Struthio camelus: one gene and its partner. The protein of the gene in region 1 interacts with the protein of each later gene in a pairwise test. Links are inferred from orthologs where the notes say so. Each region holds a gene or a part of one and is shown on either strand. Other genes may lie near its edges.

Region 1 (7,982 bases):
CTGCCTCCTGCTAAAGTGTTATAACCGTGGTTGTTGGGGTTTGTTTGTGTTTTTTTGTTTGGTTTTTTTTTTTTTTGGTATCTGGAGAAATTGATTCTTCCTCCAGCAGTCCTGGATTTAAAATTCTCTAGAAGAGATCATGTAGTGGTTAGGGTGAGGTGCTGGATTTTGTTATCTAGAACCCTGTTCTCCTTAGATTGCAGTGAGACCAGCATGCTTATTACAACAGCCTTGCCAAGTGATTTTCATGAAGGTACTTTGGTAACACTCACCTTGAAGTTGCTGTTGGAGGGAGGGTTCTCATCTTGATTCTTACTGGAAAGTCACCCTTGTCTTGCATTTGGCCGCTGTCTTTACAGTGAAACAACAGATTCTTGGCAGGGAAATATGGTGCTTCTTCCTCAAGACTGATAGGCTGCTGCTTTGTGTTTCAGCACCGCATGCGTCCTGAAATTGCCCAGCTTCTCAGTCCCCACATATACCAGGAGCTGGAGAACCATCCATCTGTCCTGAAATATGAAAACATAAAAGTGAGTTTTCAGCAGTCAAGCACTTTCTCTTGTCCTCTGTAACTGGCTAAAACAAGTTTCTGTAGAATAGTATTTAAGGATTTTAACTTCTTAAATCAAGTTCAGCTAAAGAAACTGATATGTAAATCAAGGAAACAAGGTATACAGAATTAGGCAAATAACATGTAACTTTGTCTGGCATTAGCAACTGTAGGCATTGTAAATGGATCCAGTATTGAAGACTGTAAAAGAACAGACAAAAAGGAAGATGGACCAAAAGAGTTGTATGTGATTGAAAGCTAGGAAGAAATCTTAAACGAGAGACTTAGAGCATAATTTGTGAAGCTCCCTCATAAGATAGGTGACTTGATTACTTGGGTTCTTTATTTTGGCACCTTTACGTGTACACAAAATCTGCAAGCAGGATCTATGCAGTTTAAAAGTATAAACTAATCGTTGTTAGCTAACGTGTGCAACCAAACAGCTAGAATTTAATGATTTATTAAGCTGAGCATTGGTATGCTTGCCTCACCATAAGATGCCTGAAATGTCTTTGCAAGTCAGGCAGGCCTCAATCAGAAGAGGAAAGGTCAGCCTCTGCTGCTTCCTCAATATTACTGAGCTTCCATTTTCCACTAACTCCCTCCTTTCTGATTTTTTTTTTTTATTTCCCTGCCCCACACCAGTTATGATTTTATACCTTTCTGTGTTAGTGCTTATCTTTTTATCTTTGAACTAGTAACAATCGTACCTATGTAACTTTTACCTGCCCTATCTTGCATAGCCCTGTTCTGCAGACTTTTGCACAGCCCTCTGTCACAACTTAACAATTTCCTCAGAATTCTGAGTCAAGGTGACAGCAATGCTGTGTCCGAGCTAGGTCTTGAATCCTTGGAACCCAAGCAACTGAATACCCTGGGAGAAAGAATTAGAGGTGGTTACAGAGAGGATTACAGTAACTTAGTCTACTTAGATCTCTTTGTGAAAAGACAGTACTCGTTAATGAAAGCTCTTTAAGTGAATGAGATAGGTGTACCAAAAACCACTGTAAAATGCTGAAGCCAGGCAGGAGAAAATGAATAGTGAGGATGATTACTTACTAGAATAAGCTGTCTCTAGGATAAAGTTGCATGTCCCTTCTTTGTATCTTCAAATCCAGATGAAGTATTTTGTAGAAGATGCCTTATTTAAAAATAGCTACTTAGGTCAGGAGAAACAGGATAAAATTTTGTGGTCTCCTATAAGGTAAGCTATTCTGGAGAATGTTATGATCCCATCTGACCTTTTTTTAAAAAAAAAAAAACAAAAAACTGAGATATGATAATTTTATCATTTTAGATTCTTATCTAGTACAGTAACCAACAGAGGTGACAACTAGATTAAAGTATACAGCAGTTACTGCAGCTATGGTCACCTTGGAAAACCAGAGATGTGTGTGTGATCCACGAAAAGTGTTCTTTCCTGAAAAAAGCAGTCTCTGTGTTTTGGTATAACAGCCCAAGAATTCTTTGTGGGTGGAAGAATTCCAGTTAATAGGCAAAAAAATGAAGGTCCCCATTAACCCAAGGCAAATGGAAGTTTTGGACAGGTGAGCAGATAACTCACTAAACCCCTGCAGTTGATGACTATTGAGTGACTACTGGAAATGTCACTAATCAGCTCAAAGTCTCCTCTGATGAATATACTATGGAAATCTAAGAGGCAATTATTTTAGGAGAGGACTACAGGATGTGGTTACTGCATACTTAAAGAATCTTAGTAAGGGATAATCAGAGATATGGGAAGAGGCTGTAGAGACAGAAGGTAGAATTCTACTTCTGAGATTCTTTTCTTTTGTTTCAGGGGGTCTCATCTAACCTCTTCTTTGTGGAGCATGACTTTCCTGAGCAAGAGATCCAGGAAGGGAAAAGCCACCAGAACCCACATGAGGCCCAGTTTGTAGTGGAATTGTGCAAGTATTTCTTGTGTCAGGATTATCTACCTTCTCAGATCACCATTCTTACTACCTATACTGGGCAGCTTTTCTGTCTGCGTAAGCTCATGCCGGCCAAGACCTTTGCAGGTGTGAAGGTTCATGTAGTGGATAAATACCAGGGGCAAGAGAATGATATTATCCTGCTGTCGCTTGTGCGGAGCAACAAAGAGGAGAGATCAGGGTTCTTGCAGATCTCTAATCGGATATGTGTAGCATTATCCAGAGCTAAGAAAGGGTTGTATTGTATTGGAAATATGAGAATGCTTGGCAAGGTTCCTCTCTGGAGCAAGATCATTCACACCCTCCGGGAGAAAGGCCACATTGGCCGCTCCTTGATGCTTTGCTGCCAAAACCACCCTGAAACCAAGACACTGGTATCTACTGCAGCAGACTTCAGCAAAGTCCCAGAAGGAGGTTGTAGTCGTCCCTGTGAATTTAGGTTGAGTTGTGGACATGTTTGCACAAGGGCATGTCACCCGTATGACACACAGCACAAAGAGTATCAGTGCCTGAAGCCTTGTCAAAAGGTGCTTTGTACAAACGGGCATCGCTGTCCGCAGTTGTGTTATGAGCCCTGTGGACACTGCATGGTGAAAGTTGAGAAAATTATTTCCAAGTGTGGCCACCGACAGATGGTGCCGTGCTCTACTCCAGACACTGAGTTTTTTTGCCAAGAACCTTGTCAGAAAAAGTTGAACTGTGGGCACAGGTGCAACAAATTCTGTGGGCAGGAATGCACTACAAGGTGTCCTGAGCTGGTTACAGTTGCACTGAAATGTGGCCACATCCAGCAAGTGAAGTGCTGGATCACTGAGGAGATGAAACAGGGGATGCCTGTGGAATGTAAAACTAAGTGTTCTGTCACGCTGGAGTGTGGTCATGTATGCTCGGGTTCCTGTCATTCCTGCTTTGAAGGAAGATTTCATAAGCCGTGTAACAGCCCATGCAAGCGCTTCTTAGTCTGCTCCCACAAGTGTCAGCAGCCTTGTACTACCGAATGCCCTCCATGTCAGCTGGACTGTCAGAACCACTGCATTCACAGCAGATGTAAAAAGAAATGTGGAGAGCGCTGTTTTCCATGTGCAGAGCCATGTGAGTGGCGATGTCAGCACTATCAGTGTACCAATCTTTGCTCTGAGCCATGCAATAGGCCTCGTTGCAATGTACCGTGTACTAAACTACTGCACTGTGGACACCCTTGTATTGGATTGTGTGGAGAGCCCTGCCCACAGAAGTGCCTTGTCTGTGACCATGAAGAAGTCACGCAGATCTTTTTTGGCTTTGAGGAGGATCCAGATGCTCGGTTTGTACAGCTTGAAGACTGTGGCCATGTTTTTGAGTCCCAAGGCCTTGACCACTATATGGATGAAGATGATGATGTTATCAAGCTGAAGGTGTGCCCTGTCTGTCAGACACCTATCAGAAAGAATTTGAGATATGGCACCATTGTGCAAAGGCGTCTGGATGAGATAGAGAGAGTGAAAGAGAAAATCCAAGGCCCAGTACAGGAAATTGAATCTAGCAGACAAAGACTGCAGGCTGCACTAGCAGAGAATGCTGTTCTGCAGAGGAATCTACCCCTTAAGTACCTTATGCTGGAAGATAAACTGAGAGCCTCTGTTCTGTCCACAAAGAGTATCGGACTAATTGAGAACCAGCTTAACTTCTATGACCGTCTAGCTGATCTGACCAATTCGATGAGCAAAATTGATGCAAGTGAGAGGAAAGGGCTGAGGAAGCGTCTGGATGAAGTCCAGGACTGGCTGGATAAGCCACGCCTCAGTTTTACAGGGCAGGAGCTCTCTGACCTGCAGGCTGAGATCCAGAGACTGACCTACTTGATGAGCCTCTTGGCAAGGTGCAAAGGTGCAAGTGGGAGGATCACCCCAGCCCTTGCAGAAGAGATTGCCAGTGTACGTGAGATCCTGGAAGGGACAAAGAAATTCACAGAGAAGGATGAGGCTGCAGTGAAGGCTAGATTAGAGAAGCTCTGCAGTGCCCTGCCTGTGTCAGGGCTGGGGATCTCTGAAGCAGAGCGGGTGCAGATTGTCAGTGCTATTGGCTGTCCCCGCGGTCACTGGTTCAAGTGCAAAAATGGGCACATCTATGTCATTGGGGAGTGCGGGGGTGCGATGGAGAGGAGCAAGTGCCCCGAATGCCGTGCGGATATTGGTGGCACAAACCACACTCTGGACAGCACCAACAGCCTGGCCCCCGAGATGGATGGGGCCACGCACGCTGCCTGGTCCGACACAGCTAACAACCTGCTCAACTTCGAGGAGCTCCGCAGGCTGCTGTAGAGGCCTCCGCGCGGGCTCGCTGCTGCCCTTGTCGTTAATAAAGTGTATCCGTGCTCCCTTGTGTCTCGTCTGTCAGCGCGGGCCACGGGCCGAGCGCGGGGCGCGGCCCCCGCCGGCACCGCCCTTCCCGCGTCGCTACCCGGAAGCGGATGTGACGGCCGTGAGGGAGCGTCGCTGGCCGCTCCGCCGCCATGGAGCCGGCGGGCCCGGGGCCCCGGCAGGCGCGGGAGCCGCTGCGGGACCTGCGGGGCGCGCTGCGCGCGGTGCTGGCGCGGGTCCGAGGTGGGGGCCGGGGCCGGGGCCGGGGCCGGGGCCGCGCCGCCTCTGGCCTGGCTGAGGTCTCTTTCTGCCTTTGCAGAGGGCGAACCGGGCGAGGGCCGCGAGCCGTTCGAGCCGCCGCGCTTCTGGGACGCGCTCGGTACGGAGCGGGCCGGGCTAGGGCGGCGCTGGGTCGGGCTGCTGCGCGGAGCAGAGCGGGGCCGGGGCTGGAGCAGGGCCAGGCCACCATGGGGGACAGAGCTGGGCTGGGCAGGGGCAGGCACTGGGCAGACACGTTTAGCAGTTTTTGTGGGTGGTGTCAGTGGCAGAGCTGGGACATCGTGGTGCTGTTACATGGCACGGCTATGAGTTGCAAGAGAGGTCACCAGGAAAGTCTCCAGTCAAGGCTCCTGCCCTCGTCCTCGATTTCCTGGTGTCATTGACAAAGCAGTGGGCAGTATGGAGTGATCGTCATGACCGAGCTTTTTAAAGGCTTTGGTCTCTGTTAAAGCTTCCTGGCGTGTCCTGGTAAAGGTAGCATGGGCTAGGTGACAAAATGTGATAATGGATTTCAGAACCAGCTAAGTAAAAAAGTAGAATGGACAGTTTAGTGTGACACAGCTGCAATGTGGATTTTTTTTCCTCTGCTGTAGCTTACATTCTTGTCATATTTAGAAGTGAGAGACAGTAATCAGAGAGTAGATGTTAGGGCAAAGCAGCATCAGAGAGGACGTTGCTCATCTAGCTGCTCTGTTTTTTCATCTTTTACTTAAGATCCTGATAAATGTCTTTTTCCCATTGGATCATTCTTAGGTCAGACATTCAAAGCAACATCACAGGAAGCTACGAAGCTGAGTCTTGCATTCTCAAGGCCTCCACTGCCTTCTGCAGAGGTGTGTGAAAGCCCCCACAGAGTGTGAAATTGCAGTGCATATGATAAGTTTCAGATATCTCCTGACTGGCTAGACTAAAATAGAGTCGTTGGATTTAATGTAAACAGGGCACATTTGCGTGGACTATAGGTTGCAGAATGTATTAATCCAGTTCAAAAATTGTCTAAAGAGCTAATTTCTGGAATTTGGGAGGGGTATACCAAATAGAAGTATTCTTATATTCCTTTCTTTAACATTATTTGGCACGTACAACTGCTTGCTGGTGGAGACAGTATATTGGGCAATGTGGATCTTAGGTCTAACTAAGAATGGAAGTGTTTTTGCTGTTAATTGAGAGAAGTTTTAACACACCTGTGCTTGAAAGAGGGGAAAAAAGACCACCAGTTCAGAACAGTGATCTAAGCCGCTTCTTCCTCACTGATGCGTAACCACCAGACTAGCGGGTGTTTTCTGTTACTAAACTGTGAGGAAATTCATGATGCATACAATGAGTCTGCAACTCTAGCAAATTACTCTGTTCTGTGCTTGTAGACTTCAGAAACGCTTAAATGCCGTAACTTACCATTGTGCTGTATTTGTTTCTTGAGCCAGCTGGCCATTGCTGTGCTTCCCTACAGTCTTTTTTCAAAGTAATCTGGATTTAAATGGTTGCTTGTGAGACTTTCTAAGTGGAACGCAGCAATGCACTTTTCCTGGTTAATCTTTTTGCCTATCCGTTTTTAGGATTGTCGGAAGCTGAGTGAAGACGTCCAAAATGCGATTCTTGCAGTTGCCACAGTGTACTACTCGCTCCCTAAAGGCCAAGGTGAGATGGTAACAGCAGGGCAGTGCCAGTTCTTTCATCACTGTATGATGAAGCCCAGTATCTCAGAGCCCGGTAGGAGACCTGGCATCTACAGGAAATCAAGTTTTCATGAGCAAAGAGAGTCCCATTGTCAGCTATTCCATAGACTTGCAACATGGTTGTGAGTGAACCACTCCACTGTCTACTTCTGCGGATCTCCAGCTGTGGAAGAGTGATAATGTAGGAAGAGGTATAGTTGATTGAGTGTTCGTATTTATAAAACGTTGAGATTTTGCCCAAAGTCCTTTTGAAACTCAGGAACAAACATCGCTTCCTTCAAAATACCTGTAACTTTATTTATACCATGTGTCTGCATGAATGGAGCTGCCTGTGTGTTCATCTTTGGCAGTTGCTTTCTGTCGTTGCTGTCTTTTTGTTGCAACATCGTTGCTCTTTTCTCAATCTCAACCAGGTACTACTCTTCGGAAGATGGTACGAGATGCTACTACTGAGGTAGTGGAAGGAATGATCCAGCTCACAGAAACAATTCTCAATACTCCATTGGAGAGGTAGTGCTTTTCCGGAAAGAAGAGAGAAAACATTACAAGTATACTTGCAAGGGGGCAGCAAGTGCAGGCTGCTCCCAAAGGGAAGGGGGGAGCCAGGAGCCGACCATGGTTATAAGGCAGGCAGAGGCAATGCCCTCACCAGCAAGGGCCCAGTCTCACAGTATCTGATTGAGCAGAGCAGGCGTGGTGAAGGTGGCCGCGTTCAGTTGAGAGTTCAGATCCTCAAACAAGTCTATAGCGACAAGGTACGTTTGAGGTCAAGCTGGAGAGTCAAGCTGGCAAGTCATGGTCAGGATCAGATCCTGAAACAGTAAACAAGGTTAGACACAGACCAATGATTGCCCAGTTGGGTCAGTGGTGAATTGGGTCCAAGGTCAAGTCAGGAAGTCAAGTCAGGATCGGGGTCGGAATCGAGGGGATATGAGACTGGGTGCAGACATAGCCACCACACAGCTATGATGTAGCACAGACAGGGCCCAGCCAGAGAACCTCAGCTTGAAAGTATCTTCTAGGGGAAGGAGGGACTGGGCCTCACTAACTTTCTTCATAAGAGCTCTTAATAGTAAAAGAACTGACCTTGGACTTAGCCAGATAAACTCCTTAACTGAGCCATCTAAAGTCCTAGGAGGGTAGAATCCCCTCAAGACCCTGACAGTACTCAGTAACCAAGTGGGGTACCTTTCTGTACGGAGAG
Region 2 (7,125 bases), on another chromosome or scaffold:
TTTGTTTTTACAAGGGTTAGGATACTGTGCTGATAACACTGATGTTTAATGGATACTTCTTTCCTATACAAAAGAAACAACCCAAACATTTTTTTAGTAATCAAAAAAACCCAGAACAACAAAAAAGCACACACACACACACCACACACATGCAAACAAATAAAAGACACACCCACCTCGAAACCCCAAAGAAACTAGAACTGAGGGGATACTTAAAAGTAGAACCTCATTGGCAAGCAGCACACCTACTGCACTGAAGTCTTCACTGTAATACCAACAATAAGGTGGTCTTCCAATTATATCCAGAGATAAATCTAGATATAACTGGATAACAGCCTGAACAATACTAACATCACAGGGACTCTGGGGTGCCAGATAGTAAGTAATAAAGAGGGATTGTAATACACATACTGAGCAAGATACTTGAACTGTATGATCTCACCACAAAACTAAGTGGAACAACTTGCTTAAAAAAACTAATAAAACCTATTTCAAGAACATCAAAAGCAAGATGCCTGCCAAACAGTCTGCAGAGCTAGTCGATGTTCAAAATACAATTGCAGTCTCAAAGAGCAGAGTACATTTGAAAGGCTAAATGCATTCCTTGCATCAGGGCTGAGATTACCTGGATCTTAATGCAGTAAGACCTTCTGCGCTGCCCCTCCCGCAAAGAAGAGTTAAAAAAAAAAAAAAAAAGCCTGGAGTAGCACACAATAGTCATTCAAACGTCCTAGAAAAACTCAAATACAAGACTGCTACCTATCACCTATATTAACCAAACATGCCTGGTACCAAAGAAATGAAGGGCAGTAAATGGGAAACTTAGGTTTTTTGATTGTTTGCAGTCCTGGGATGGACTCCCTTAATGAACCATACAAGTAAATGTAATCTTTGTACTTGCCAAGCAGGAAAAAAGTAAGAATTTAGTATACAGACAATTCATAAGGAAGAGTCAATTCTGTAAGAAACTTTTAAGAAGTCCCACCTTATAGAACTACTACAGTTCACTGAAAGAGTCAATGAGTACGTAGATAAGAGTCGATATATTTATGAACACTCAACTTGGATTTTCAGAAGTCTTTGACGAGGTCTTTAGTCCTATGCTTTATTTCCTGTCTTTTAACTAATAAATTACCTGTCATCTTTAGCCTTTCATGAATTTGGAAAACACTGCAAATATCATGGTTGCAAAGTTTCATCAACAATACCGAATTATTCAGAGTTACTAAAAAAACCTGACAAATTGCAGAAAGGTCTTAGAATACTGCATACCAGAATGATAAAAACAGATACTCAGTGGACAGTATACCTGTGCAATTATTCGCCAAAAGGCCTACAGTTTGTTTACACATGTAAACAGTTTCATGATGAGAATGGATAAGCACTTGGAAGGAAGATTTACTGAAAGAAAGATTCACTGTTTAGCTTTCTGAGCCACATCAGAGCTGAAAATGGCTGATGGATGTGAGAATACTTCAATGACATATCATCTGTGTTTGCCCTGTTCTTATTCTTCCCTGAGCATCTGTTTACAATTGCTGCTGTAGACAGGACAGTGGGCTAGCTGGACTCATGGCATGAATTCGCACGGCTATTCTATATAGGAAAAAGTGAGGCACATTGCAGACAGGGCAGAGGGGAAGCCCTTGATTTTATTTTTTTTTTTAAACCCAAGATACGTCTCTAGATTAGTCGTTAGGACACAAGAGGGACCTTGAGTTTTGTTTCTCATACAGATGAGAAACATCAATTCTCAGTGTTCAAAAAAAAAGAATAAATGAACAGTGACCAGAGAACAAAAGAGAATAGTGTCACTTTATAAATCCACTGCACTACTGCATTTTGAAGATGATATACAGTTTAGGTCCTTCTAACCTCACAAAGAAGGACATCACAGAATTTGAGAGGATATAGATGAAAATAACGAGGATAAAAAGGTACAGAATGTCTTTGCTGTCAGAAGAGCTTGGAAAAGCGCTAACCAAGAGAACATATACAGATGACACACACGAGGAGGGATAAACAGGATAGGATTAGTCACCATTTCTCATGGCACAGTTACAGCAGAGTAGCAAATGAAATAAAATGCCAGTCTCAAACAGCCACTTGAAACAAATACAAGGGTTTTTGGTAAACTGAAGATTTTTTTCAGCATAGCGGAACTGTATCTACACTACATACTTTGATACCACTATATATCTACATATGCACACATATAGTTAGAAAAGCAATTACATAAATTCATAGAAAAAAATACTTAACAACTGAAAAACAGAAATTGATCTCTAAGTCAGGAACTCCCGAAACCTCAGCTCAAGCAAGGGGATCTGTTAAGGCAAGCTTGCCCTGTTCCTTCCCTAAACCTATGGCCACTTTCAGGACTTCAATCCAGCAGATTTCAGCTACTACAGCTGCTCTTATGAGTTGTTTGTAGGTTCTGTACGAGAAACGCTGCCCAGATTTTTCTGTTCTGCTCAAAACTGCTAAGACTTGCACTGGAAAAGGGAGCGCTTCTTAGCTTTTCATCTGCATGGCTACCTTCCAGCCCTTTTCGACCCCTGGGGATCCCTTGGCCTGCTAACAGAGCTTGGTAGCAGGCCATATGCAAAAACCCTACTGGGAACAATCCTTAGACTGCAGGTGTGCATAGCACAACACTAAGGCCTGTATTCTCTCAGCTGAGCTGCAGTTACTTGTTTTTTTCTAAAAGACCAGCTGTCAGAGGAAAAAAAAAATAAAACCAGGCATCTGAGCTACCACTTAAGAGCGCTAGTTTTAGCTTTAACCGTTGAAAACCAAAGCTCAACAAGTGTTACGTCCAAACATGCAAGGAACCGGGAGACACGGAAGCAAAGGCCGACAACGTTTTCAAGCCTTGGAAGGGGCCACGAGGCGTTTCTGGATGCTTGTTGCCAGCAGCACTTCCAGTCCCACTGGGAGCAGTGCCGGGAAAGCCGCGACTCGCCCCACCCGAGGGCGGGATCCAGCTCTCCCCTCGGTTAAGAAAGGCCTGAGAGCAGCTCTCGCACCCGCAGGTGCCGGCGCGGCCAGGGGCGTCGAGCGGGGCCTCGCACGCCGTGGGGGCCCCCAGTGCGGCCGCCACCCCCGGCTTCACCCACCGAACTTCGGGGGCGTCTTGACGTCCACGGCCGCCTGGCTGCCCACGCTGTCGGAGACGATGGCCACCTGCTTCAGCACCTCGTCGTACCTCACCTGGACGTGGTCCAGGCGGCGGCCGCGGTCGGCGCCGCTGACGGTGACGAGCACGCGGTCGGCATCCGGGTAGCGCTGCGGGTCCAGCGGGCGCACGCTCACCTGGCAGGGCAGCCGCACCGCCAGCCGCCCCCGCGGGCTCACCGCCAGCGCCCACTCCCTCAGCGCCTTACCGCCGCCGGGCTCCGCCGAGCTGCCGCGGCGAGGCCCGCCCGCCGCCAAGCCACCCCGCCGCCCGCTCCCCTGCCACCCGCCCGCCACCAGAGACGCCCAGCGCGGGCGCAGCGCCCTCATGGCGCCCGGCGCGGCAGAGGCCCCCGAGGCTACGCGGGGCACGGAGCCATTTCCCGCCGCGACACGGCGGCGGCAGCAGCGCGCAGATGGGCACCGGGACGGCTGGTAAACAGCCGTTGGCGGCGGGCCCGGCCGGAGCCTCGCGCCAGTCCCCGCCCCCCTCCACCGAGGGGGCTTCTGGGAGACGTAGTTCCCCCCCCCCCCCAGCAGAGGGAACTACAAGTTCCCGAAAAGGGGCGACAGCAGCCGTACGCATTGACCTATGAGCGAAGGGGGGGAGGCGGAGCTTTTCCGTGTTCTGCTTCTATAGGGCAGCGGGAGGGATCCTAGGGCCAATGAGGAGCGAGCGTGACGGGCGAGGGCGGTTGAGTAGTACGAAAGGAGCGGAGCCGGCGTTGCCATAGGAACGTGGGACGCCGCTCCGCGCAGCCGGGGCCGGCCGCGGCCGCGCAGGTAGGGCAGGGGGCCGGGGCCGGGGCCGGGGCGGTGGGCCAGGCCGGGCCGGACCGGACCGGACCCCGGAGCCGGGCCTGGCCCTGCCGGCCCGGAGGGACAGCAGCGGTTGGGGTGGAGGGGGGGCTCGGGGCCACCTCAGCCCCGCTCGAGGAGGCTGCGAGGACAGGCCGGGGCGGCCTTCCCCCTCGCGGGGCCTCCCGCGGGGTCACCTCACGCGCCAGAAGATGATTTCGGTGCTCTCGAGGCCTTTTCCGTGCTCTCCTCGGGCCGGTCGTGGGGCTGCCGAGCTTTAACGTCCAGTGCGAGCGCCGGCGCTGGGGTGCCTGGCTGGTTTCCAGCCTGCTCGGCCCCCTGCGGCCCCCGCGGCCGCAGGCAGGGGGCGCGGCAGCGCGGGGCGGGGAAGGAGGAAAGGGTAAGGCCTTTGGGCGGCACCCTGCTCTTCGCTGCGCTTTTAGCCCGCAGTGACGCTTCACGTGATGAAATGCCCTTGGTCAGAGGATAAAGAAGCAGTTTACCAGATATGCTGCGAAAAACATTTTTCCAAAACAGTGTTGCGGAGCTCAAAAATTACGTGCTGTCAAGATAGCTTGGTTAACACGTTATTTATTGTGACTGCTTCTCAGACAGGCAGCCAAATAAATATTTTCCTTAGTGCTGTGCAAATGTGTCATGAAACAACAGTCCTTACAGGGTTTACCAACAAGTGGGGAAATACAGACTTCAGTTAAAGAGACTTTTATGGACTTCTTAGTCCACATTAGTATTATACAATAATTTTTAAAAAGGGGTGTGGATGAGCATAGATCATGTGAAGCTGGAGATTAAATTCCTGTTGTAGGTTTCCTAACAGTAGCTTACTGCCAATAATGAAACAGGCATAGAAAGGTGTGCGGTCTTAGCTACATTGCAACATAAGAAATAATGAAATCTAGGATTGTTGATTGGTTTGCTCACTCTTTTACACTCCATGTGTTGTTTCCAAAAATAACTATGCAAGCCATACAATATAATATTTGGTTTTAAGCTCTTTTCATCTTGTTAACTTCACTTCTGTTATTATCTGCATCTGGGAGTGATTATTTTTTAGTCCAAAATGACATTTAAATCTCTAATAGGAAAGAAGCTGGTCCTAGTTTTTTTGTCTTTCTGTAATTTTCACTGTAGAGAGTCTAATAAGGATTCATATTGGTCAATGAAGCTCTTCAAGTTAAATTATTTTGTTGGTTTATGTTATTCAGTCTCAAAAATCCTTAAATGAAAGACAAAACAGTGACGGTCAGCAATATGCTAGAATTCTAGAAAGACAAAAAGAGATTAAGACATATCTTGGGGCATGAAGAGGGCTATAAGTTAAAATTGTCAAGTCTTCAGAAATAGTTGCTTTTGGAAAAACAGTACAGAATTCTCCCCCTGAAACCAAATACTGAGTTTAGCTGTTGGTTACATAATTTGACAGGGAAGCAGTTACAGGCCTGTTAAATGGTGGTGCAATGAACTATGCTTCCACCAGATGACAGGCCATTCAACAAATAACTCTATTAACCTCCTACGTTCAAAGCAAGGAATTCCAATTTTTTTTTCAGGTGAGGCTTGACTGATGCCACACATTTCTCCTGAAGTTAGTGCTGCTGTGTCCTTATCGCAGTTTCCTGTCTCCTCTCAAACCTTAGCACTGCTGCCCCGCTGCCCCCCTTTCCTGCAGCATCTTGATAGGGCATTTGATGCTGTCTTCTTGGAGCAGAGGTTTATCAGGTTGGGCTCCATGCAGTGCTATGCATCATTTCTTATGCATCATCTTTAATATTGGCATGTCTCATGTAATTGAGAGTCTTGGTTTGACAAACTGTTCAAAGATGCTGAAGCCCTAGCTACCTATATATTTCACCGTTTTATGGGTTTGTTTTTTCCACTAGACACCTGTTAGAGGTATAAACACACTTTAAAATATATTTAAGAAGACTGAAGAAAGCAGGAAAGGTTCTACTGATGTCATCTGTATTTGAACTATAAAGTTAATTCCATTTCACCTTCATGCTTGTGACTGAATTCTACTTGATTCCATATCAGCTGGTATGGAGTGTGGCAAATTAAGTATTTCTTACCATCTGTGCAACAATAAAATGAGATTTATTTTCACTTTTAATTTTCTGACTTGTCACCTGCCAGAAAAGAAACCTTATATCAAATTTACAAATGGTTAGGGATTTAATTCGATCTGCAATTTCAAGACGTCTGCATCTGTACAATAGGGTGGGTTAAACCAGGACCTGTGAAAGTAAGTCCTTAATGATTTACCATACTCCTTAGTCATTGCCAGATGTTTACGTACCTGAATGTTGTGGTAAGTGAAAGAATTTACCAGAATATTCTGTATTACATGCAAGAGACAATAAAAAGTAGACCTTAGGTTGCTTTATGAAATAGATTTTTAAAGCCAGAGCTATATAAGAGGAGCTTTTAGGCTAAGGGAAGTCCAAGAGAGATCTTAAGGAAAGAAGAATTAAAAGAAACGGTCCTCCAGGAGAGGCTGTAGAAGGAATACGTATTTCACTTTGACAGTTAGAACAAAGTGCAGAACAAGATCAGACAGCTTCAGAAACCCAAAGGATATAAACATTACTTAGTCTACTTGGGCAGGATTAAGGTCATCCATTTGCCATACTTGTAATGAAGAAATAATACAACTTCACTATTCAGTAAGAAGAGGCTGCCCTGCAGGAGTGTTCTTGCTGGAATTACGTTCCTGCTGATGTTTACCTGCAGATGAAAGAACGTATCCTTTCAACTTGCCATCTGGAGTTAGGGCAAGATTTACCATGTACATGGCTAGTCACTACTTAGTGTTTCTTCATGTCATAAAGCTCAAGATGTTTGGTATGAGGATTTTTTTGTGAAGTTTATTAAAAATTCTTATGTATTTCTATTACAAAATATTTGTATTACATTATTGTAATTCAGTTTTTGTTTTGTAAATAACATTATTCTGTAATGTTTTTCTGGAACTACTTCCTTGAGCCTTCTTAAGTTCTCAAGTCATGCCTAGGGCACAATGTTGAGCAAACCTTGTTTTTTTTCTGTGTTTTCTTTCCTGTATTCTAGTGTGTGTGTAGGGATGGTAACAGTCCCTTCTCTGAGATGGTAGAGTGAGGCTGTCTCCAGAAC

What was found. The genes of interacting proteins can lie anywhere in the genome.
Region 2: the proteins of CCNDBP1 (region 1) and CCDC146 interact in binary tests that used the Homo sapiens proteins (3 or more experiments, as listed by UniProt). The two-hybrid records come from large-scale screens. The link is inferred for Struthio camelus from reciprocal best matches to the Homo sapiens genes CCNDBP1 and CCDC146.

The regions. Positions count from the first base shown.
Region 1 is NC_090959.1:19,674,300-19,682,281, forward strand, and holds the start of CCNDBP1 (cyclin-D1-binding protein 1), read left to right. Parts: upstream 1-4,923; 5' UTR 4,924-4,975; coding exon 4,976-5,066; intron 5,067-5,142; coding exon 5,143-5,202; intron 5,203-5,855; coding exon 5,856-5,935; intron 5,936-6,658; coding exon 6,659-6,740; intron 6,741-7,191; coding exon 7,192-7,288; intron 7,289-7,982. Other genes in the region: ZNFX1 (NFX1-type zinc finger-containing protein 1), read left to right, coding at 435-530, 2,352-4,784. UniProt on the Homo sapiens protein: May negatively regulate cell cycle progression. May act at least in part via inhibition of the cyclin-D1/CDK4 complex, thereby preventing phosphorylation of RB1 and blocking E2F-dependent transcription.
Region 2 is NC_090942.1:14,107,347-14,114,471, reverse strand, and holds the start of CCDC146 (coiled-coil domain-containing protein 146), read left to right. Parts: upstream 1-4,059; 5' UTR 4,060-5,560; coding exon 5,561-5,715; intron 5,716-7,125. Other genes in the region: protein FAM185A, read right to left, coding at 3,120-3,507. UniProt on the Homo sapiens protein: Essential for sperm flagellum biogenesis and male fertility.